4 linked regions of the Neodiprion lecontei genome follow. The main gene of each other region encodes a partner of the protein of the gene in region 2 in a complex. Links are inferred from orthologs where the notes say so. Each region holds a gene or a part of one and is shown on either strand. Other genes may lie near its edges. The genes, in order: nuclear pore complex protein Nup58, nuclear pore complex protein Nup107, nuclear pore complex protein Nup205 and nucleoprotein TPR.

Evidence for each region.
Region 1: nuclear pore complex protein Nup107 (region 2) and nuclear pore complex protein Nup58 share a complex: the UniProt entries of both Drosophila melanogaster proteins name them as parts of the nuclear pore complex. The link is inferred for Neodiprion lecontei from reciprocal best matches to the Drosophila melanogaster genes Nup107 and Nup58.
Region 3: nuclear pore complex protein Nup107 (region 2) and nuclear pore complex protein Nup205 share a complex: the UniProt entries of both Drosophila melanogaster proteins name them as parts of the nuclear pore complex. The link is inferred for Neodiprion lecontei from reciprocal best matches to the Drosophila melanogaster genes Nup107 and Nup205.
Region 4: nuclear pore complex protein Nup107 (region 2) and nucleoprotein TPR share a complex: the UniProt entries of both Drosophila melanogaster proteins name them as parts of the nuclear pore complex. The link is inferred for Neodiprion lecontei from reciprocal best matches to the Drosophila melanogaster genes Nup107 and Mgtor.

Annotation. Positions count from the first base shown.
Region 1 is NC_060265.1:8,736,029-8,743,641, reverse strand, and holds the start of nuclear pore complex protein Nup58, read right to left. Parts: upstream 6,017-7,613; 5' UTR 5,886-6,016; coding exon 5,815-5,885; intron 5,464-5,814; coding exon 5,111-5,463; intron 4,808-5,110; coding exon 4,597-4,807; intron 4,471-4,596; coding exon 4,097-4,470; intron 3,988-4,096; coding exon 3,763-3,987; intron 3,217-3,762; coding exon 3,142-3,216; coding exon of another isoform or gene 3,134-3,141; exon of another isoform or gene 3,132-3,133; intron 2,980-3,131; coding exon of another isoform or gene 2,963-2,979; exon of another isoform or gene 2,830-2,962; intron 2,349-2,829; coding exon of another isoform or gene 2,338-2,348; exon of another isoform or gene 2,316-2,337; intron 2,173-2,315; exon of another isoform or gene 739-2,172; coding exon 551-738; 3' UTR 1-550. UniProt on the Drosophila melanogaster protein: Component of the nuclear pore complex, a complex required for the trafficking across the nuclear membrane. Together with Nup54, required for transposable element silencing regulation in ovarian follicle cells.
Region 2 is NC_060260.1:13,190,961-13,195,856, reverse strand, and holds the start of nuclear pore complex protein Nup107, read right to left. Parts: upstream 3,013-4,896; 5' UTR 2,849-3,012; exon of another isoform or gene 2,748-2,848; intron 2,400-2,747; 5' UTR 2,394-2,399; coding exon 1,838-2,393; intron 1,019-1,837; coding exon 543-1,018; intron 116-542; coding exon 1-115. UniProt on the Drosophila melanogaster protein: Plays a role in nuclear pore complex (NPC) assembly and maintenance. Required for nuclear import of Mad. Mediates the association between the nuclear pore complex and a subset of active chromatin regions adjacent to lamin-associated domains.
Region 3 is NC_060261.1:2,748,932-2,756,529, forward strand, and holds the start of nuclear pore complex protein Nup205, read left to right. Parts: upstream 1-1,564; 5' UTR 1,565-1,702; coding exon 1,703-1,712; intron 1,713-1,991; coding exon 1,992-2,155; intron 2,156-2,239; coding exon 2,240-2,656; intron 2,657-2,726; coding exon 2,727-3,018; intron 3,019-3,115; coding exon 3,116-3,838; intron 3,839-3,922; coding exon 3,923-7,171; intron 7,172-7,255; coding exon 7,256-7,506; intron 7,507-7,595; coding exon 7,596-7,598. Other genes in the region: PAN2-PAN3 deadenylation complex subunit PAN3, read right to left, coding at 684-776. UniProt on the Drosophila melanogaster protein: Plays a role in the nuclear pore complex (NPC) assembly and maintenance, but with limited role in NPC permeability. Required for specific nuclear import pathways such as Mad import.
Region 4 is NC_060260.1:31,011,542-31,016,535, forward strand, and holds the start of nucleoprotein TPR, read right to left. Parts: upstream 3,014-4,994; 5' UTR 2,735-3,013; coding exon 2,563-2,734; intron 2,453-2,562; coding exon 2,290-2,452; intron 2,051-2,289; coding exon 1,829-2,050; intron 1,723-1,828; coding exon 1,163-1,722; intron 955-1,162; coding exon 563-954; intron 400-562; coding exon 143-399; intron 37-142; coding exon 1-36. Other genes in the region: uncharacterized protein LOC107221997, read left to right, coding at 3,983-4,994. UniProt on the Drosophila melanogaster protein: Component of the nuclear pore complex (NPC), a complex required for the trafficking across the nuclear envelope. Functions as a scaffolding element in the nuclear phase of the NPC.

The sequences.
Region 1 (7,613 bases), on a different chromosome or scaffold from region 2:
GCAAATGAAATGTGCGTAAAACAAGTCTTATTACGCACTTACATTACTCGCAAAACAAAACTCTTGACATGATAAGACTTTGTCTTCTAAGAAAATTAAGTGTACAAAAAGATACGAAAACAACTATTATTCACAGATTCCCTTATGACCCTCGGCATTCATGCGAGTTTGCTTCTCATTAAAAATACATTTGCCCAATTCGAATCGTAAATATGAAAGTATGGAATTTGTTTCTTCGTAAGTCCACTTTGATTATGTTTGGGATTTAATTACAGATTTTTCGACTAAAAAAATGACAAATAAATTAGTTTCGATTTTTTTTTTCTTCGAATATCACTAAGATTCATGATTTTACATATTTTTGACTTTTAGACAGGTACTCATACCGAGCACACGTTTGGTCCTTCCAATACTGTAATACCCCTTATTACATCCAATTTCTCGGGATAAAAATCCATGAAACAATATTTTCCAGTATACAATCGTTTCATCTGGATTTTATGCGACGAATGTAATACCAAAATACACTTAGATTTTTTTTTCATCAACTTTAATGCTTATGTCTCTTGTTACCAGTTGGTGGTTTTTGAAGTTGAAAACTGAAGTTGGAGTCTGTTGCTGATAGAGAAGTTGCCAAGTTTGACGGTGTGTTAAAACTCAAACCTGTTGCTGGTGGTTTGGCAGACGCACCAACTGAAATACTACTGGCTGTTTGTAATGACGTTGCATTACCCCAAGCTGAAACAATTTCATTATTACATCGCCTCTAGAAAGTATTACAAAATTAAATTTACACACACCTTGAGGGCAGTAAACTACCTTTTAAGCTCTCCGAAAATAAGAAAAAAAATGTCAGCGTATATATTAAAACCATTATTACATTTCTGTATTGATTTGTGTTCCATAAAAGAAAGGCAGCCTCCATAGGTATCCCATTACTCGATTTAAAATAAGTACAATCCCCCTTACTTAAAACGACTTAACATTACTTTTACGAAGCACATTGCATTATTATATTTCTGTATTGATTTGTGTTCCATAAAAGAAAAGCAGCCTAGATAAATATCCGGTTATATTGATTTAAAAAAAAATTACAGACCCCCTTAGTTGAAAAAACAAAACAAAAATTTTACAAAGCACAAAATCAAATGGGTAATATTTAAATATATCTAGGTGTGCTCGGGAGAATCCTAACAGTACATTGTTAGAATCATGCATTTTTCTTGTCCAAGCATAAGCCTGTTCACCTAAAGCCAAAGCAATTTCAGATGAATTTGACATAGGGAATTAATGAAATCTAATTTTTAATCACCATTGCAAAGACAAGAGTTATATAACTATGCATAAGAATGAGTGAATAAAAAATTAATACAACAATATGTTGTTCATGATAAGCATATTCTTTATAATGGATGCAAGAAGGTTTACTGTTCGAATTAAAACAAAAAGACTTTCCTAAAGCATTTCCGTCATAAAGTCATCCCATATTAAATGATGCAATCATTCCGCGTCTTTGTCTGTGAATCGGCTGTTTTTTTCCCCTTCACAACTCACGAGGGATCTACGGAATATTAGATTTTTCAAAAATCTATTGATCGACATATGAATTTTCGCAAGAATATTCGATTTTAGCAAGAATAACCACTAATGAACTGCAAGATAGTATGTTTGTGGTTCACTGGCGATTATCGTTAATAAAAAAGTGAAAAACTCGTGCATGTTTCAAAATTATTTTGAAAAATCTGACACATTTGGTAGTTTCATATGAAAGTATTCCACTGTCACTAGTCATATTCAAGGGAATTCGCAACTGTCAATAAGATTATAAGTGTCTCGTTACTTTTTAAATAACAGAGTCGAAAGCGAGTGTATATGTAATTTACATAAGCATTGAAACGAACTGAATAGAGGTCCTTTGCCAATTTATAATTTTGTTTCTTTACCAAATCTTGTCTGTAATTTGTCTTCAGTCATTATACAGTTTCAGATCAAATGTGATGTACAAATTACAAATAAGGTGACCAATTTTTATTCAATAATATCTGTAATAGTAGCATCTAAAGCATGAAGTAAAAGCATGTAGTTATTTTCCATGCAAGGTTTTTAGTAAGGTAAAAGCTATTCAAGCTGTACTGTCCCTTCAAATAGAAAAATTAATACCGTTACATTCAAGCTTTTGAAAAAATTTGATATTAGCAACATAAGTAATTAAAATGAAGAGTGATGATAATTTATGCTACTTGAAGAAAAATCCCTCTAGGTTCCCCGAACACAAAACACTATATAATAATGAAAATAAAAAACAAATGCTATACCTCAAATACTAATAAACAGCCACTACTTTTTTCCTGTAAAGGCAAAATAAATACAAATCAAACAGATAATAAATATATTTAGTGATAGCTACAGTGTAAAATTGTCAATCAACGATATCACACTTGAATGAATAACTGCTATGTAACGAAAACAAAGGAGTCAAATTAATGAAGCTATAGAGCAAACGGATGTAGCAGAGTTGTGTAGTTGCTCTGGTTTTGTTAAATCAGTATATAAACGCAACGTGCACAGTAATAACGTATATGAATTCATATTTTGGTAGCAAAGAATAATTGTACAAAGTCTTGGTGAATTTTATGACTATTTTTTTGTTTGATAATTGTTATTTGTGTCAAAGTTCAAAATCTGAGGAAAGCTTGCAGTGCAGAATGGCAAATGGTGCGTTGGAAAATTAATACTATACCTATGCTTTCAGAAAATTTGTGCGTCAATATTTCATAGCAATTTTAATTTATGCGCATTCAACGATATATATTTCGTTGTGCAATCATGGCACGAAATAGAAGACGAGCAGATTACATGTTTAATTTTTACAACAAAATTTAAAGTTTGCTATAGCGTCAATTTACTACATCCATCTATTCTCCGTCAACTTTTTGATATTGGTAATAATTTCTACCTCATACTAAATCCCTGCAAGACCTAAATATAGGATACGTTTATGGGGTATTTTATATACGTGACTAATCGAAAAATACGTGAGTAAAGTGAAGAAGAGGATATAAATTTATACAAATGTAAAATAGAAAAAAAAATCCAATAAATTACACAGTATTTCTAAAGGTTCATCTTACCACTATTTACCTAAAGGGTTCGCTGTTCCATAGTTTGGTGGTCTGCTGGTATTTAGGTTTGTTGAGGATAAAAAACTTTTGTTTCCTAGAATAAAAAATTTTACAATATCGCAAATTTATCATCATTCGAGGATAAGTGAGACGAATTCAACTCAATCAGATACGTCGATGTTTTCAAAAACGTATCGCTTATGAAGTTGAGACTCATGCATCTTCAAAAATCGCTCGAAAGTAATAATTTATTCACAACGTGGAAGAATTCTTGCAAATTAAGAGTTCCTGTTTATAACACCCACGATTGCCATTCCGAAAATTTCATCTTCACAGGTACAGAGTATACCAGAGTATTTGAATGGTTTAAAATGACATGTAAGTTAAAGGTGAACAGGAATCACTTTAGTAAGTATTGAAAATAAACAATTAAATATTATCATAATCCCTTCAGTTCTGTACCCGTTTAAAACAGCTATCTGACAAACAATAATTCAAAATGTTATGGAAGAAGATCAATGAGGTAAACTTCGAAGGCTGGTTCAACAAATGTATTTTATTATTAGTTACTATTATATATTTTATTGCCTGAAGACAAACTTCATTCGTACAAATTAGCCTATGGAATTGTCTAGCCTACCTGGACCAAATGGAGTAGGACCACTGTTGATTTTTCCAGAGCTGATCCTGCTCATTTTTTCGTTTAACTTGCTGTCTTCAAATACGTTAGAACTATCTTTTAAAACGTATTTCCTCAAATTGAGATATTGTTCTTTTTGATGTTGAACTTTAGCGTGTACACCTTGCAACTTTCCCGCGACTGCTATTAATGATTCGTGAAGCTTGCTCATCGCCATTGTTAGTTCTAGGATCAAAAAATGTGGTCAGTCTGATTGATGATGTGAAAACATGTATAAGAAATTGAGCTTTGTAAATATGATGTATGAAAGTGAGAATAAGAAAGGTAAACTCACCCTGTGGAGTTAACGTCTTTGGTGTCACCATGGTATGTATATGTTTTTCAGTGGATTCTATCTGAGATCTGAATAATAATAAATCCTGTTCAAAAGTATCGGCAAGTTCCATAAAGAACAGCAATGGCGCATTGTTCTCATATTGCAGTCCTGCTGGTGTATCGTGTGTTCGTTGTGCAATTTCTGCATTTTGTAAAGCTTTTGCTGTGTCCTGTTTCAATTTGTCTGCCAAGGAACGATCCCGCTGTACCGAACCAGCGAGAGTTGTTAGGAGTTCCATCAACGACGCTGTGTCTTCGGCGCAGCGATTTAAAGGTCTAACGGAACCCCGAGCTATGTCCGAAGTGAATGACTTCTGGGTCTTGATAAATATTCTGGTGAAAATTCAGGGTGATACGTTACAAAGATGATAAAAAAAAAGTCTTTATTACTCCAATTTGACAAAAAAGCTAATAAACGTCTTCCAAATTGAACTTCATTGTTATGCCATGATTACTTACTTGAAGTTTTCAATAGTCTGTGTAAGTTCATTGGGTATGAGGTTTTCCTTAGCTGCTGTTGGGCTACTACTTCCTTGAGTTAAACCTAGTTTGTTGGCAGAAACATCAACGCCACCAAGGCCCTGGATATTAGTAGTTGCCGTTAGGGCGGCTGAGTTCACAGGTTTGGCACCAAACAAACCCCCGACAGGTGCAGCACCAAAAAGAGATGCTGAAAGTAAAGAAATCGTTCGATAAAATATTAGGCAGGACTCATTACTGCAAAGCGTGGTTGAATTTTTCTAAAAAATTACACGTTTGGCAAAGCGAAACTTTGTAACGCAAGTAAGTTTATAGAAGAAAAATTGACTTGCCTGGTAGAGTTTCTACTTATGAGAACTACTACAAAGCTCAGTAAGGTAATAAGCCAGTTGGAGATAAATTTTGATCAGCAAGAAGCATTACAGTGAATCATTCCCTTATGTTATTCCTAACATTGCTATAATCTAAAAATACTCAAGAGAACAATACTAACAACCCGTGGTTGTAGTGGTACCAAAGTTTAAAGTGTTGGTAGGTTGAGTGCCAACACTAGTACCAAAATTCAGTCCTGTCGTAGCAGCGGGTGTACCAAAACTGAGACCGCCAGTCGGGGCTGCCGAGACAATCGGAGTTGAAAATAAACCTGAAGATACACTTGTTATGGCTGTTCCTCCAGAGCCGAAAGGCCTCGAGGCTTGCGAAGTGGTCGAAGTACCGGCTGTGCTACCGAATCCAAAGTTCGGAGTCGTTGATGTTCCAGATATGGCTGTACTAAAGGATAAGCCACCAGTTGCAGCTGACGTCGCTGCGAACGACGGTGTGACTGTTGAAAACGCTGGAGCTGGTCTGAAAATAGGATTGAGATACGTTAATCGTTTGTCTCAGAGGGTAATAGAATTGGGAATAGAATCGATAATTTGCGTTACAAGTATTGACTGCGAATATCAGTAATTGCTAGTCTTGAACTTGTTTTCGGAAAGCATTACTAGTAGCTAACGTATTCCTAATTGCATTCAAGTTATGACACACAATGAAGTATTGAAGAAAATTAAAGTAGATGATACAATGATAAGTTTTAATTGGATCACCGCAGTGATCCGCGAAAGTTATTCATCTTTCACGAGAATGAGAGTTTTGAGGTTAGGATGATTACCGCCAAGTTTGAGGGAGTGTTCGCTGTCAGATGACAAGACTTACTTTTGATTACCAAATCCAAAGGTTGTTGTCGTGGTTCCGGTAGCAGGAGTGCCAAACCCAAATTTCGACATGCTTCTTGCGAGTGTTTTCAATCTAATATTTAAAAATATCTATACTACGTCTCGGCAAAACATTACATTCAAGACATGGCTTGAAACTTCACTTCTCAAGGATTAAGGTCGCCCGCGTGTCGCACGATGTCGCTGTTCGTTGCCGCCAATTTGAACCATCGAGCTTATATGTACGCATGGAGATAGCATCCCAATGGTTGCACGTGTCACGGGGTCAAGGCAATACAAGTACATTCTGTCTCTGTCGCTCTGCGCTGCGATTGGCTGTGCGCCCTACTTCGGCCAATCAAAGCGCGGAGGGAGCGAGACAAAATGTATTGAGATTGCTGTTTCCCAGTCACGAATGCCAGTGCTGGTATGCTACCTCATGCATACAAACTTGATGATTCGACTTGTTGCTTCCAATTTCGTTATGTGTTGCTAACAAGCGGTAAATTTAAACACTTAACAACATTTTCGAATGAATCAGCCTGCCTCAGTTTAGATCGAAGGATAGATAAAAAGTTTTAATTGATCCTAGAGCCGTAGCTCCCTGAGGACCATCAAATACGAAGCTTACAAAAAAATTTCAATCTTATATTTATACACGAAGTGATTAAAATAAGCAACACGGAATTCGTTTAGTTTAGTATTCATTCGAAATAATCGTATCATTTCATTATATGGACATTTTCAAAATCCATTTATATTACTTGAATACCGCGTGCCGGGTTCTGGCAAACCGGCAGCTATTCAAGTAGCTGTTATTGCTTTACTACCTACTTTGAATAACATTTTAAAAAAATATGAAATATATGATTGATGATAACCAATTGAAATTTGTCACGTCACCCTTTTCCCACTATTATCATGTCACTAACAACCCCTTTTTATAGTTAGTGAGCAAATAATCGAACCCACCAATTTTCGGTTTGGTGAGAAAAAACTATGCTGTAACAAAAACAAAATTTAATTTCTAGGACAATTTTTAAAACTTGTTGCTTGCAATGGGATTAATTTTGTGGAAACTTAAAAAAATATTTATTGTAATACCTGAAGAAGTGACAAATATTCTCAAACTTGAACCGATCGAACATAGTAATTAGCAAATTATTAAATGAATAAAAGGTAATGTCCATATCTCGGGTTCTAATTAACTTATTGAAACTTTTTATTTCAATTACGCGTTTTGGAAAAAGTCACCGGAGTCTTGAAAAATATCTAGAGTAATTTGAAAATGAATGAAATTGCTCACACTTTTTTACGAGCTAGAATTTTAAATCTATAAAAAACTTTCTTTGTTGACAAAAATTACTTTTTCCCTGTTACACTTTGAAAGTAGGCATTGAAAATTATCCCGACTATTTTTTTCCACATGGTAGAAATAATCTGACAAAAGTTATCGAAGAAGTGCGGATTTACGTGGACCGTTTATTGTTGCTCAACTAGGCAGCGTAGCCGGGTAAACTTTGGATGAAAAATTCGAGAAAAGATTGTTCTACACGTCGGGTGAGTTTCGGGACATGGAATTGAAAATTCACCGAATTAATAGCAATAAACAAAACGGCCGATCCCAGTGCTTGTCAGGATTTTTCAAGTAAACTAACAATGATACATTATTTTTGTATAGGACTAATTTTATAAAAGGCAATACGATGGAAAACTTTTGTAGGAACCATTTTTCACTGAAACCAACAAAAACAAAAATAAATAACTAAATAAATAACTTCCGCAATTTACAGTTTGTTC
Region 2 (4,896 bases):
GATTAGTGTAGTTTGGATCATGATGCGGTGTCCATCCTAATAGGCAGGCAGCTCGCCATGGTTGACCACAATGAACAGATAGAGACTGTGCCTTTTGCAACCGTCCACATCTTACCTATATAAACATTTTTTTCCGTTTTGACGTGCAAAGACAGACAAGATTAAGAACAAAATTGCTGAATACGAAAAAGTAATATCCTACCATGGTATTTGTTGATAGATACAATACATATTACACGCTAAGAATTATAAATAGTGCTTAAATGATTTTGTTTGATGATATTTGCAACAAATAATATGATCGTGATATACCAGAAATAATTTAAAGTTGAGAAGTGATCGAATATCATTCAAGATAAATGTTATTTGAAAGAAAAGGAATATGAAAAACCTACACGGATTCTTTAGACATTGGCACAAAGTTATCTAAAATTTTCAAATTCATAAATTTGATCACAAAAATTGGTGAAAAAAAAAAAAAATATTCTTTAAACAAAATCGAATGAGTGGTGATGATTCCTCCATAGGAGAATAATACATACCTCTAAATACATTCTTTTTTCTAATCTAACATCGTCTTCTTTGTCCAAGTCGTGTAAGGGCCTGCCTTCTCGGATCGGTGCATCAGGGTCTAAGGATGTTACTATGGGCCGAGATGATTTGAAGGTGATTCCCGTATTTAGATTTTGTAGTTGATGAAGAGTATTTTCCCATGCTACAGTTTTATCGGTAAAATGCTCCATCATTGGTAAACTATCAGCTTGATCAGATGCGTTTTTTTCCAACCAATCGACAATTAGCTGGTACTCAGTAATCGAGGGTTCATTTCTGTACAAGTTTTCAATCACATCCTTTTCTGAAATATTAGTTTTCAGTTCCATGTCTACTTTTGACTGAAAGTTTGAGGAGTTTACACGGTGTTGGTACAGACAGTACACTAAACGCCAAGTATTTCTTTCATTTTCAAGGTTGATCTCTTCCTCCGATACTTCAGTGTTTTCGACCTTTGACTGCATACCTGTTCAATATGAGAATCCTTAATAAAATTACACATTATGTCGCTAGAATTTTGAGGTAGAATCAATAAATATAATAAGTACAGGTGAAGGCTAATCTTTCAGTATCAAAGTACTTTTTAATACACTCTCAGTGCAAAAAATATCAATCACATCGCTTTTCATAGGTACTAAGGAGAAACCGAATTGGCTATTCTGCCTTTCATTGATATGACCCTTGAAAATTAATTGTGACATTATTCCTTTCTTTTGCTTTTAAACAGAGCACTACAGTTTTATGCAAATCTGAATGAAAAATGTATTCTGTTCAAATTCGTTACTTTATTTCAAGGTAAGACCTAGACATAATTTTTCGTACGCTTTACAATAATGGACAGAGCCACCAGAATTTTGGCAATTCTTTGTATTGAGTTTCAATAGATTGACAGTGTGTTTTCTTCATCAAGACGTATAAAAATAGTGATCAAGATGACAACAAATTTTTTAAACGTAACAGTAATGAAAAATACTCACTCTATCTTCCATTTGAATATTGTAATTTCAATCGATAAAGACAAGAAGTAATTGAATGGTATTTTTGAAACACTTGTTGATACTGAAACCATTTGTACCGTTAATGAATAAATGACTTTTCTCATAATTTTCATAGTATTTCAATCACCTGTTTTGTTTTGAAACTATTCTATTTTCATTTGAGATTTATAAAATTCCAGAATTTAAAAATATGTGTATAATGAACTGGAAATTATGATGACTATTTTAAAATAGAAATTACCATTACATATTTGTGTATGTCGGATAGTGAACGAATTAGTACCTACCCCGCATTATCTCTAATGTATCTGTGCAAGTCTGTATGAAATCTGCAATGGTTTCAAATACTTGGGGTGTAGCCCTGTGTGCCTGAACACTTTCAAGGAATTCATGGAATAGTTTAGCATTCGCTTCACGCCAGGGTTCGTTAGCTTTCAATACTAAGCCTGTGGCAGTCGAATCATCCATCAGCTCTCTTAGAGTAAGGTCAGTCTTTTCTGTCGTATTCATGATATCCCTAAGTTCATGTGGTGCCATTGTAATAGATGTATCAAAGTCCTCAGTGTCATATTTATCAAATGACTTCGAATGTAAGTATGACCTCCGCATTCGTGGGTTTTTAGCCTCGGATGGAAACGACCTAGATTCATCACTAAAATTTCTGGGAACATTTTCAATGGAATCCGAGCTTCTCTCGAGATTGAAATTCGGTTGCAATGATATTCGTTTAGGCGTTGTGCTCTTAGTTGCTAATCGCAGCAACGAAGTTCTCTGTGTTCTACCCGAGCCCAGCAACTGGATTGAATGGTCGAGGTTGTCTGCAGTTTTTTGCAACGGCTCCATCTTGATCTGATGTAATAATTACAATGATTAAATAATAATCCAAGTGGTCACAGCATTCTATTGAGTGAAAAACGATGAAAGCGAGGGCAATAACATAGCTAATAGTGAATACTTCTGAACTAGTAAAGTAACTAATGAATGTAATATGTGCCGGGAAAGTAATTTTTCTTAAAGTTTGAGATTACGGTGGATATTAGCGGAAAATGCAACGTTTGCCGATGATTTTTGATGACAGGTAGTTCAGCACTTAGAAAGAACTACTGTTTCGTCACACGAAATTCAATTTATATCGATAACCAATAAAAAGAACTCGCGATTCCGTAATAGATGCATGCATGTAATTTGACTGCTAACCGTAAGATTAATACGAGTATCAGGTTAATTCATTTTTCCCAGTGTTGCAATTTGCAAGTATGCACGGACTCAACACAATAAGAATTCAAAACTTGTTGCACCTTGTCAATATTTTCAGAATACAAATTTGGACAAGAATTTTGATAACTGAAACAACGTAGGTTAGCACAGTACGGAATTGCTGCCGGTTACTATGCAATATGTACAAATTGGCGGGCCAGTCTTCACGTGGTGTACGGATCAAAGCCTTTAGGTAATTTTGTACCAACTGTTCAAAGAAATTTCTATATTGTTAGCACGAGTCTTCAGGAAGAAATCTCTAGTTTTCGTGGCGAGCTTTATGACAAGCATAGAGAGAATAAGGCCGTGTTTGAAAATTGACTGACAGTCCTGTCAGCAATCTTTCATCTCTTTTGCGCTTGCAAGTTCACGAATGGCTCTGACTCTGTCCTAGGGAATTTTCAGTACTGTCAGTCAATTTACGAACACGGCCTAAGTGGGCAAGATGTAGGGGTTGGCATAAGTTGAGAGACTTGCCGATAAAAAGAGAAAAAACATCAAGATACAAGTATACGTCCCCGCTTGCCTTATTGCTATTGGTCTTTGTCACTCTATTCGGTGACTTGATGGGCGAAATATATAGATTCGACAGTCATGCATTTCGGTATTGTCGAAAGTACTAATAGATCCTAGAAATCTCCCGATTCAGCATAAAAAAATCGTACTCAACAAAGTTTTTTTGTAGTACGATAGGATGCTAGTTCCATCAAAACCTGATAGGGCTGAGTTCAGAAACCTTACTCGAGTGACTCGTATCGTTATGTCTTTGTTTAATCTCATGTGTTAAAGACAATATGATATCCGAGTTTACTCGGGTAAAGTTTCTGAACTCAGCCCAGGAATGCCTTTATCTAGTAACTTCTGTTCGTCCGTTATTTCGTGGGCCGCCGTTGTCATGGGAAGATATTCAAATATCCAACCAAAGTGGTGTGACGTCAAACGGCAATTCCCGAAATTTCCAGCAGCTAGTCACTAGAATTCGTTGACGAAAATATAGCTAGACGCACAATTAGTAGTTTCGGGTCGCCAGATACCGATTGAGTATTAAAATGCACTGGGCAACTCGATTCAAACCGCCCACTTCAAATAAATCGGATTTTATTTTTAATAGGTGAATAATAATGGTGTGCACTTACCTTAGAGCATTACTGTACATTCTCTAAGGCACATAATACTAAAATGTCGAACTCCGCTAAAGTATTTCTCTGCAATGCTGAGGTGTTTCTCTGCTGAGATATTACTCCGTTTCGATGGGGACGCGAGAGGCAATAGGAGTTTAAAAGCAACTAATTTAATATAATTAGAATTACATGAAATATATTTTAATGGGTTTATTGTCTCAATAGACCGTTTACAGAATACCAAAACCTGAATAATAATTATTTAAGAGTTAAGGTGGGAAAAAGCGCTGCTTGTCTGGCCAGAACTAAGTTCTAAAAATTGGAATATCGTATTAGTGATATAGAATAGTAATTAGGAATAAAATATACGTACATTCCGATCAGATGGTACAGTGGGCGTGGAGTAAAGAATTTCCAGCCACACCTAACTCCATGTGAGTGCGGGTATATGCTCTAAGATGCGGGTGGATTTTCACGCGCAGCATGCTCTGATTGGTCAGTTTACCAAAATCACTATTTGGTGACGTCTCATCACTGATATATATATATTAGTTCGTCTCATACTTGGTGATTTTGGTGAATTAACCAATCAGCACATGCTGTATCGAGAGAGACCTCTGTATCCAAGTGTTGCCGCACGTGAAATCCACCCAGTGACTTAAGGAGTGAGCATGTCAAGCGTGGGCAGGGGAAGGGGAATCAAGCATGCACGTACAAGTTTTTCCTTTAATTCCGAAAGAGAAGACAGCGAATCGTAATTACCAGAGTCAGTTTTGTTCTTATCGTAAATGGCGCTATTATTTATTCCAAGCCCTGAACCCCAGCACGAGGCCAACGCTGCAGAAGTAGGCCTGCACAGAATGAAGTTCATATTTTCCACCATTTTGCCTACAACCTAGCATACACTAGCGGCATCTATCACCCTACTTCGACATTCTTTTCGACTAGCAGACAATCCCTCCGTCTAG
Region 3 (7,598 bases), on a different chromosome or scaffold from region 2:
TTTTTCCAATATGTTCGACTTGTAAACCCTGAAAATGAACGGTGATCATTAGAACAAGTTTGTCTACTTTGTGACTTAATTAATCGTTGAATAAAAAAAACCAAACGAATCTGTTCAGAACGGTGCAGAAAGAGAAATATAAAAACATGCAAATTTGTTTTATATTCAGTAATTGTTGCGCGTAAAGGTGAGACGATTAAAGGTACAGTAGTAGAACCTGTGTTATCGAAAACATCGATGCTTGAATTTAACATAAGGCAACAGTGAAAGTTGATGGTTTTCCTGAAAATAGAATATCGTTCAGGGTAGAAAAAGCATTAATAAATGGAATTTGTATTCTATTGAAGTTAAGGAAAAGTAAGAAAAAAGAATATAAATCACAGAACTTTTGAACCTAGTGTGTAATTCTAGCCTTCGCTATATCAGACTAGAGACAACAACATGGAGAATATGTACACAAGTGTGTGATATACTTGTTGCCTCTAAAAATTGAGGGGGGTCAAGAAAATGCAGCAGGATTTGATTCGAACAATGTAGTAATAAACTAACAATGAAGCAGCTGATTTTGACAATGCACACACAGAATCGCGACAAAAGTGGTTAATTTTGGTTTTCAACAACGTTAAAAAAAAGTTCGTCTTTTTACGAAAAAAAATTGTAAAAGTTTAAACATAACTGAGCACCTCAAAAACGCGACGCGAGGCGAAAATTTTTTCCAAAATGTAGAACCGAAGTCTATAAAAACATCGAAGATATGGTGGACCAACATAACCCATCCGAGTTGTCAGTGACGTCGCGTCTGAGGACGGCGCGAAAATAAAACAGACGCTCCAGACGCTTTGCGACGGACGGCGTTTGGGTTATTAAAAAAAACAAATAAATGAGATTCTTTCAAGCTTAGATTAATATACTTTAGTACTGACCGTTCAAAACATTTTTCCTTCCCGCAGACAAAGGTGAAAGCGTACTCCGTGATACCGATCTCACTGTGTTTTTATGCTACACTTGTCTACACTCACGGACAACTTGCTGCTCTTACTTCGATCGCAGCTGTCCTTCCGGAAGTCGTGCTTCGCATACGTATATACTTTATTTTTCGAAATACAATTTAGACCTCGGCCATTTCCGGTATCTTTTATCAAATTTTATATTCAACCACGAGCTTGTCGATCGTTATTTTTCATTTTGGAAATTTAAAATCGAACGAATCATCGTTTTTGATTGCGTGGAGCTGATAAATCGTTGCATTTATCGCCTATTATTCGCATTGACGAGTCTCGGAACACATCGAGTAATGACGTTTTTTCGTCGAGTGGCCAACGAAAATAGCAACATAAATCAAAAAAGCGCTACAAATATATATTTGGTTGAAGTTTGGCGCATTTTTTTGTTATAAATTTGATCCAAACTGCATTTAGCGATCGGATTGAGTAACGTAGTGGTGAAATCCAATGACGCTTGGACCCAACCGAGTTCCATTGATGAAGAAGGTTCTTTTTTTTTTAAGTGGGTGGCATTGATCAATTATTTACCTTTTTTAAGTTGGCGACCACTGCTCGCTCGCGACCATGTATCATGAACGCAGCCATGTTCACGCGGTTTTACAAATCAGCGCCAACCGCCAATTCACGAATGAGTGTTTGTCTCTTTCTTCAGTGATTGTTGAATTTGACCTTCTGAGTTTAGTTTAAATAGCGCAAGGATGACTGAAGGTAGGTCTGCGTATGCGTCTAACTTATTCTACATTAATTACTGGAACTCTTCTCCCGGTTGTAACGTGACATAACCTAGTTTTACCCAACTTCATCACCGGTACAAATGCAACAACGTTTATGATCAATTGTCTGTCAAAATACGTGGTTGTATTTACCTTCATATTTTGTATGCTTGTTCAGTGATACAATTCACGTTTCGGTTGATAATTCGTTTTAGCGTGAATTTGAATTTTCCTAGGTTAAGTTTTGTCACATCGACACCATTTACTATTACAGAAAAGACAAGTACGGAGGACATGTGGACTCCTTACAAGGAACTCCAGAGTCTCGTCGATCAATATATTACCTCTGCACCCAGTTCCCACGATCCACAATACCATGAATTTATGGAAGCGCTTCGCAATCACCGACAGAATTTTCTAAATCTCCTAAGCAATCCTGTAAGCATAATATTTCAACATGTAGTAGCTGCGACTTGGAGACCTTGATTGCCATGTGCTAAGTTTATCATATCCTCATTCTAGGCAAAGAATGCAAAGAGTCGTGAGGAAATTAAAAATGCAGTGACGGAGGGTATAACTCTGCCTGGACTAGGTCACCAGGTTTTGTCCAAAGAATTGGTTGACGAGACAATTATATTATCCGACATGTACGAACTAAATGAATTTATGGCTCTTGACTTACTCTGTACTGCTCAACTTCAAATGCCGCATCATCCTGGATTGACACGAGGCCTAACTGCTGTCCTTCTGTACTATGACGGGAAGAAAGCTCTCACCTCAACATTGAGGACTTTGGTTCAAGCCAGAAATGGTCATACTTGGGTTCTCGACACACCCGTTACGCTTACCAAGCAAATTACGGAGTATACCAACAAAATGCAGGAAGACGGCCTGCTGGACAGGATCCTGAACCTTTTGGAGGATATGGATCCGACGAAGGTAAAAAATTTGTATTTGGTAATAGCACAAGATTTAACTTGGCGCTATTATAAGTAGATTCTTCTTTTAGGAACAAGAACTGTTGCAGCAAAACAGAGGCTTAGGAGGAGCCAAGCATCATCACATGGTCATGCGTCTTTATAACGGTGCCAGGCAGGATCTTGCCGATATTTTATACCTTTGGTCAGCTCAGTCAGCTTTGCCCAGTCACATCACTCACAGACTTTTGTCGTTACTTCACAATCGTCATCCGGAGGCTGAGGATGGGACTGGTGGCCCTGATAAAGTCACGTTGGCATTGATTATGGCTTTGCTCAATTCTATAAATCTCAGCTCACTTCACACCAGAGAGGACGGTGAAAGTATGTCTACGATAATAAGTAGCCTTATCCAGATAATTGCATATTATTCCTTGACTGTCGAACGATGATTTACTTTCTTTTTTTTTTCAAATTTCAGCAATTGTTAAAGCAATGCCGCTTATTGACGATCCTGACATGTTGCCACAGCTCGTAACCGAGCTAACTTCTGGTAATGTAAATTGGGAAAGTGCCGGACTTCGTGGTTTGATTCAGTTTGCGCTAGCTATTGCCATAGCAACTATAAAATCTGCACCCAATCTGTGTCCTACACAAAATATCACCGAAGAGGATGAAATTTTGGTGGAAGCTGCTCTGGCAAACAAGGCTTTTCATTTTTTGGCTGAAGTTCTACTTCAAAGCTCTCACATCCACAATGAGGAATTCTATGTTCGTTACATTCACACACTCATCTCTGATTTTATACTACTCATGCCTTTGAAGGTGAAAGAGTTGAGAAATAGAGCCGACGAATCAATGCGTATCGTTCAAGCCTATCAACAAGAAGGCATCGAACCTCCCATGAACCTTGACAACCATTTTGAGTACCTCATGCTGTCTGTCGCTGAACTGTACAAAAAGGATCCCCTCAATTTGAACCTTGCAATGGATTATTGGTGTCAACATTCCGACTCCTCTCATATGCCGAGCACTTTGCATGCGAGCCGATTACCTCCAAGGCAAGTTGCTCTGTTCAAATTTGTCAGAGTCGCCGGAGAAGTATTGCCCAGCGGGCTATTTGGACCCTACCTAAGAATGCTAGCATCACTTGCTTCTTCCCTACCAGCGGCTAGGCAAGCATTCAACTTTCTGAAACTTAATGGTAAGCTGTACGGCTTGATAACTTGATTTGAAAGTCTATTAATAAGAGGTAATCTTGTGTTATTACTGCATTTAATTTTTTCAGGACCTTCGGGGGCAACGACCATTTCCTGGGATCATTTCTTCAACTCCTTGAGTCGCTACTATTTTAATTTGCGACAAGAACTCCCACCTTCACAAGACACGGTATACCGTCAAAGAAATCATCCCAAAGGTATCACACCTCACGAGGTCAAAGGCTTGGAAGCTGTGCTTCTAGTCGTTCGGGTTGTTGCTTACTACGATGAAGTTTCTCGAATAGCGATATGCGAGCATCCAGGCTGGAACGTCTTGCCTTCTATTATTGGTTTGGTGGGCTGTGCTATGCCGATTCCATTAAAAGGTGCGTTAGTCAGAACGCTCGCAGCTCTGGCAAAATCTCCGGAGAGTTCATCTACCATATGGCAAAGTTTGGAAGCTGCGCAAATACTGAGTACCGTACCAACGACCAGCAGCTACCAACCGAGAGGAATTCAAACGGAATTAGAAGAAATTGAATCTAGAAACGAGGAATTTCCTTTGACCAGAGCAATGTTGGAGCTTCTAGATGTCCTTACTGATTTTCCGATACCTCGACTTCTGGGTGTTGGCCTAAGAAATCCAGGCTTCGATCCGTACTTACATTTCATAATAAATTCCGTATTTTTGCGGTTCAACACACGGTCGTATAAAAATCCTGGGGAAAAGTGGGACGTGTCCGATGCCTGTCTGAAAATATTCATTAAATTGATAACACAGTATGAGCCAACTATCGAAGACTTTATCGGATGTAAAATAGAACTACAAGGCGGTGAATCGACTGTCGTCAATCCTCCTCCTGGACACCATTTGATAACGTTGCTACACTCAAATTCCGAGTTTCTACACGTCATTCTGCTCATACTTGACGAAGGATGCCATCTTTTGGATACTTACGACGATTTTCCTGGTAAAACAAGCCTCGAAAGCAGCACTTTGCACTGTTTGCAGATATTGGAGCATGGATTGGCAGCCCAATATCATTACATGGTTCAATTGGCTGCAGCCAGCTCAACCAACAGAATTTTAACAGGGCTATCCCGCCTTTTGCTAGGTGTAAATCCTCGCACGGGAAAACCAGACCACATGATTAACATCGTTAAATACATATCCTACAACTCATGGCTCACTCAACACGCCTTTGTGTCAGTTGGCATTGTTCAAGGCGTCGCCAACGAACCTGGAGCAGATTCAGAGTTACTTTCTACATTCACGTCTACTCCTTCGTTGGCAACGACGATCAGGCATGGTTTCGTAGAGTGTCTGGATTCTGACGAAAACTTTGAGTCTGAGGAAGAAATTGGGAATGAAAAACGAAGCGGTAATTGCAAGGGCAGGATTTTGTCCCTCTTGATGCAGAGCATAACACGCCCTGCGCCTAACATAGCTCATTACCTACTTGGATTCGACATCACTAAGGACATAAGAAAAACTGCAATTCAACAACCTGGAATACTAGGCTTTCCGAGGACTTGTCTGCACTCTATACTCGGGATATTGGAATTATCGTTGGAGCGTGGCCGTGACAAGATTACAGAGGCTTGCTACTGGTTCCTTCACATACTGGCTTCAAATAACAAAACCTCTGTTTCCGTACTTCGGTTCCTTCGGACAGCCACCAATCAAGATTTCGTACAACGTCATCTTTCCAAGCTGCCATTCCAGGGAGCGAACAGAGCGACTGAGCTTGCCTGCATGTCCTGGCTGCTAAAAATATCGGCAATTGAATTGCGCGTCGCTGGTGGCAGCCTTCAGAACTCCCTGATTCAAAGACTAGTCGGCAATCTAATCCATGACAGAGATCAAATTGTGCCATCCCAAAAACTCCTGATGGATCTACTTCACTATATCGATTTCCAGTTAAATCTAGATCCTCCAAAGTCCTGGGAATACTTTGATCCGTCTCAAATTGAAATGGTGTTGGGACGCTGCAGCATTCCAGTTCCACTTGGTGGAAGTCCCCAGCTTATAGATATCAGAAAACTTCACAATCTTATAACAGAAGAATTGGCTGGTACGCAAACTAGCGCAACTGCGACTCAGCGTAAGCTTGTGCAACAGGAGCTGCAATCTATCCTTGCATACGCCTTGAAACGAAATCAAACGAAAACCCTTTCTTACGCTACTGTGAAGTTCGTCGAGGGCTGGTGTCAAACAACTGAAATTTTATTCTCTGTCGCAACGAACCAGCAACTTCCCGCTGCTCAGAGGCAAAATCTTCTGCTAAATTTGTCACATGATTTACTGCAGAAGATGACGTCTTGCGAAGCTTTGAACGAAATCAAAACACTTGTATCTGGAACCGTGCTCGTACTACTAGTAAACCTTCGTAATAGCTTCTCCATGCAATCTGACGATGAGCTGCTACCGTCTTCCGCTGCAAATACAACAATGATGAAGATTATCCTTAGTCATATTCTTCAATGGATCTTAAATTCTGGTGTATCCTCACAAAAAGTTCGAACCCATCTTTATGGGGCACTTCTCAATTTCCTCTGTGTAGTCAGTTTGGAAAGATCGGAAGTTGTGACCAACATGGATTCCATGTATGTTAGTCAGTTAGATAGTTCGTATTATAGAAGTACGCCGCTACAGGAGCGTTCGCATCGATATGCGACGATACAAGTGATCAGTAGTTACGGTAACAAGTTGATGGATATATTGTCCCACGATTGTTCCGGTGGACACGACGTCTGTAAAATGCTGTCATTATCGTGCCTCGACAAAATTTTAGAATTCGATTGCAGCAATACGTGGGTCACATATCTGGCTAGCAGAGGGTACCTTAAACACATGGTAGACAGTCTTCTGGATTCTGACAATTTATTGCGAACAATGCTTCAACCAGATCCACTCACTCTGCGGCCCCTGTATTTATACGAATCAAAAATGGCAACGCTCTGCAGAATGGCGTCGACCAGACTGGGTGCCGAATGTCTTCTGGAAAATAAAGTCCTATCTTGCTTATCAAGCATGTGTGTTTTCGATCAGCATCCTGACGTAAATGTGGGCTTTGAAGGTGGAGATATATCCTTTGTGCCTTCCATAGGTCAGCGGTATCAGCAAATCTTTTTACCTGCACTTTATTTGTGCGATGCTTTGCTGACTACCCTTGGAACGGAAAATCAGTCTTGTGCCATACAAGTTTGCGGATTTTTACAGAGTCATCGAGATACCGTTGAAATGGTTTTACGGAATGCATCACCTCATTCTAATGTTCTGTTCCTCAAAGAAGTCGCCAGTCTCACCGGGGTCATCGCAAGGTCTGCCAACATTGGTAGGCATCTCTCATTCAATTGATTTTTTCATGATTTTATTTCTATTTTATTCTATGCAAATATTTAATTCTCTTCTTTTTCAGACATGTATAAACTTGTTGACGAGGAATTGGCCAGAGCCAACTCTAACGAACACAAATCTGAAGATAGTACAGGCATGAGAGAATTGCGAGCCCATCTTTATAGGCTCCAACGTTTGATGCTCTCCATGGTCTCCAGATTTCAGCCACAACTGCCTCCCGTCGTACCTCTACATCAACAAATGGAAGCTACCCAACAACATTCGTGCGCAATACAAATTGCTGCCAACGTTATGCTGTACACTCGTAATCAAGTATGTCAAACTTACCGACGCAACTCATTTACATTGATTGAAGATTGAACTGTGTTCAAAATTCTGATTTTCTTTATTCGCTTTTACAGATG
Region 4 (4,994 bases), about 18 Mb from region 2:
TGCGCCGCTTGCATGTCAGATAGTTGTTCTACATACCTGAAATGAGACAATATTTACTTTCGTATACCATTAAATGGGTTCCTTACGTCAAATTACACAGTGGGGTGTAATACATCATTGACTTGCTGTGAAAGTAATGTACCTATCAAGTTTTTCTTTCATCTCCCCAGAATTAATTTCATCAGTTGCCTTTTCAATTTCTTCTTGTCTTGCAGATAATGTTCTGACAATTGATAACAATTTTTGATTGTTTTCCTGTAATTCTTCAATATCTCTAAAGGTAACCAACTTTTTGCTGATAATTTGAGAAGATGCTAGGTCGTCAGACTCCATTATTGTGGAAGAGAGGACTGTCGAACCTCCACGACTCTCCTGGACTTCTTTAAGAAGGAAACAGACCTGGAATGATGAAAAATAACTCTACTAACATGATCATACGACTGTACAGGTATTCCTATGAGATATTTGTCACATGATAATTTTTTTTTTTTTTTGTACTGAGTAGTGTTTGAGACATAACAAATGTAAATGAAGAAATCTAAATTAAAATATATAGAAATACCTGTCTAGCAAGATCCGCAAGCTCTGTCTTTAGCCGTTTATTTTCCCGAACATGGTGGTTAGCAATGCGCGAAGCCTCATCTGCAGATTCTTGCAAACGATGATTTTCAGCAAGAAGGTCATCAAGACGCGAAGTGAGCATTGTAACATTGGCAACTGCGGCTTCGTAATCGTCACGCTGTTGTTGCAGTACCGGTGCCTTATCTTCAAGTTCACGGAGTATTATATTCATTTGTGACTTTAATCGCTCATTTTCTTCTTTCTCAATTGCCAGTTCGTTGGTAGCATCAACCAATTGGGTATAAATTTGGGTCAGGCTGGAGCCTTTTTTCAACAGCCTACTTGCTACTGCTGCTGTTGGAGCCAGTTGCTCCACTGCGTGGTCTAACATTTCTATGGAGCACATAGTAAATAATTAAGTCAAAACGTTCTTAGCATGCTTACCTTTAATATATCATATGGATGTCTGGTAATTCATCGAGCAACTTTCATGGATTAAGCTGATCAAGAAAAAGTATTCAAAAGTATGATCTAAACGCAATTGTTTTCACATCTAGCCTTAAATTTGATCGAAATTAGATATCCAACTTTAAAACTATACCTTGTTTGGCGTCCTTCAGTAAATCATTCGCTCGTTCCAGCTCTTTTACAAGCTCCTCGATTTTTTGTGACTTTTCAGCGACCTCTTCATCAATTCGTATTTGTAGATCATTGTGCTGTGTTTCAAGCACACCGTACTGCTCTGTGGCTTGTTCAAGCAGGGATTGTAGTTCTTTAACAGCTGAACTAAATTCTTCAGCCTTGGCATTAGCTTCATCTGCCATTCCCTTATAAAGATCAGCTAGTCTAGTTTGAGCGTTAACTTCCTCACGATAAGAAGCATGCATTGAAAGCTCATGAGCTCTTTGTTCTTCTAATTTTTGTGCCATTTCATCACAGCGTTTGATGATGAGGGAATTTCCTTCGCGGAGTTTACTAATCTCATCATTAGCTATTCGCAGTTCTTCCTCACGCTGTGAAAGTTGGGTTTCTGTCAACAGTGATCTCTTGGACGATTCAGTACGAACATTTTGCAGTTCTCCAGTGCGCCTTGATAGCTCTTCTTCTAAATTGGCCATCTGTTGAGATAAAAGGGTTCGCTCTTTCTCCAGACGCTGTTCCCTGTGAATAAATGTATTTACAAATTTCCAACAAGGATTTATATTTCTCTGTTAGAATACTTGAAACCTATGGATAACTTGAGTTAACAAATACAATATCTACTGACTTGTAATCTAAAGACATCTCGCGACTGCGGATCTCTTCAGTGTCAGCCAGAGCCTGACATTTGGCAGTCACCGCTGTCTGCAGCTGAGTACTGAGCATTTGCAGCTCGGCATGTGTACGCTCAAGTTCTGCATCTCGACGTTCAACCTGTAGTTGTAATGCATCTCTTTCATCTGTGGCTACATCCCGTTGACGTCTCAGCTCTCCGTTATCCTTTTCTAATCTATATAAAATGGATCAGTAACAGAATACTAAAATTTAGATGCGAAATATCTATTGTTTCAAAGGAATTCGAAGTCAATTAATTTGTTAGGCAACTCGTTATAGCCATTTTCTTTCACAGAAAAAACAACATATGCACATATATGTACTACCTGGAATTTAAGAAATGAATTGCCTGATCGTACATTTCTTGAAATGTAAACCTAGAGCTAGGAAGAAGCACACTAAAGATATTTGTACCTTCTAAGTGATTCTTGTAATCTTGTTGCTTCAGACCTAGTTTCATCAACTTTGGTTTGAAGTTCATTTGTATATTTGTTGGCCAGTTCCAGTTTGCCTTTACATTCTTCCAAATCCAGTTTCTGCTCATTGTAATCCTTTTGTAGAGTCTCTAATTTTTGTTCTGGCAGATGAAGAAAGCAAAATTGGATGGTTAAACAGACATCAGTGAACAGTTTGAAGGGAGTTTTGAAACGGTAAATATCGGAGGCAGAAAAGTAACGCTAATCTTACCGAGATTTTTTCTGGCAGTCTCAAAAACAGCTTTAGCAGTGATAAATTCTTCGAACCGTTCATCGAAATACGATTTCAACTTTTCGCTGACACCCTTTGGAATATGTGTAAGTTCTTCTTCATTCAATATGCTGCCTAGCACGTTGTGTGGGTTTTCTTCTATTGTTTCCATATCGTTTTTGCCGATAATTCACAAATTTTAATATGTATCCGCGTCTCTTTTTCGTGCAGATTCTACAATCTTCACCGGCGTTTGCGGTTGTCGGTTGATTTGTGAAGAAAATGGTGCCAGATATACAGATTTAGGATTATTACCAACTTAAAATCATCGGCCGTCACGGTAGCATAACGGTGGGTAAAAGTAAAAAGTAACGTTATTGGTTAGTTCGTTGAGAACAGGTCTGACATTGGTCGACTTCCGTAATTATGCAGCCAGTGCTACCGTGATTGCTGCAGTCTTAGACCATATACTACTGGAGTTAGCTACCCATGCCGTCAAACTCGCAAATACTATGGCCGTGGCGATGAGAGAGCGCGACATATATCCACGTGTTACCCTGGATACTCCGTTTCTCTCACTCTGCATTTGATTGGCTGAGAGGAAACGCATTGGCCAACCAGGTTGTGAAGCGAGGGAGATAGGTAGTACATGGCATTGATAAACTATCTCACTCTCTCACTATACTTTCAGTACACGCGAGGCTACCTTGAGTAGTATATGCTATAAGGCTGCAGTTCACAAACAACTGTATCTCGAAGTAAAGGAAAAGATCAATGCTAGATGAGCATAAGCTACTCAAAAGCTACTGATAACAGGATACCAATTTTGAGTTTCACTCGCTCTATCAGATTGTAGGGTAGCCCTTCCATAGCCTCATTCTGCACGGATTTTCATCGCTGACAGCAATTTTCAGGTTAGGTATATACGCAATCGGAATTATACATTCCCGGGTTTTTTCGAGTCTGGGTAAGCAGCGGGAGATCGATGTCGCTGTCTGTCGTCCAGCCAACAGTTGGCGTTCCCGATAAGTTCTGTTAGGGGTTCTGTGCTCCGAAAACTACCGACCACGTGGATTAATACGTTGTCAATTGCGCCGCAGGTAATGCGGAAAATGTTTTTAAATATGGATACACATGTCGGAATAAAATTGTTAATTCATCGCCAATGTTATCTTTAATGATACTTTATTAAATTCCAGCACTTTACAGTTGCATTTCATTTCTAATATTCCGAGCAGACTGCTTGTTTAACCTCGAATAATGTGTAACAGGATTGAAGTAGCGTGCTATTTCGTTTCGATTTTTCTACCTTGACGACTATTATTTAAAAATTGGTTATGTCGTTACAAGTTGATATGAATTATATGTAATTTCAGGTACCCTTCGGCTGTGTTGTTTCTTTGCTTGAAGATTATCCAACATGACTAGATTTACCAGAGCCAAGGGCTCCAAAGCATCCAATGAACGTGTTCCTGATGAGGCTACACCATGGAGTATAATGAAAATGCAGCTTGAAGACAGTCAAACTGCATCCAAAGCTGTCACGAAAAAGCCAAAAACTGCTACTGAGTTACTTGCAGAGAAGGATAACCGATTATATTATGATACATTTGGGAATGTGAATCATGAATGGGCAGCATTTGACAACGTTCCAGAGTTACAATCCAAGAAAAATAAAATTGACAAATTACACGATATCAAAGGCAGCAAAAACAATAAAAATCAGAAGGCTGTTGAGGTACAGGGCTTAAATGATAACTCTTTTAAAGATCAAGTTCTTGCAATTCCAGTGAAAATAAAAAACAAAAAGCAGAGTAACATTCAAGCTAGTAGTGATGAGATCAAAAATTCTAGTACTACTGGTCAAGTTAAACCAAAATCAGCTAAGAAAAAAAAACTTAATGTAACTGGAAACGAAACAGAAATGGCTGCAAAGATAACTGATATGTCAAAAAGTTCAGACATAAAGAACAAAGCTATCAATTCAACTCCTGGTGATACTCTGCTAGAGGCCAAGTCTAATTCTGTTGCGGTAGAAGACCTGTGTTCGAAATATAAGCAATGTAAGAAATGGAAAAAGAAATCCAAGAAAGCGAACCCTGATTCTGATATTGGTCAAGCGGCAATCGATTTGTTGCAGCAAAATCAGAAAGCTGAGTTATTGAACAGTGATTGTGCAGTGAAAGATAGCATTACTGAAGCCCAGGAAGAAGGATGTTCAGAAAAGTTGAGTAAACGCCAAAAAAGAAATAAAAAAAAACAGAAGAAAATAACTAGCACCAATCTTGAGAACCAAAATCAAGCTACTACTGTAGACACACAGAAGAATCATAGTGCTGAAGGCTTTGATGTACAAGGAAATGAATGGAGTAATCAGGTCAAATTTGGAACACCAGCAGTCCATTGTTCACATAGGCCTACGTCTACTGAAA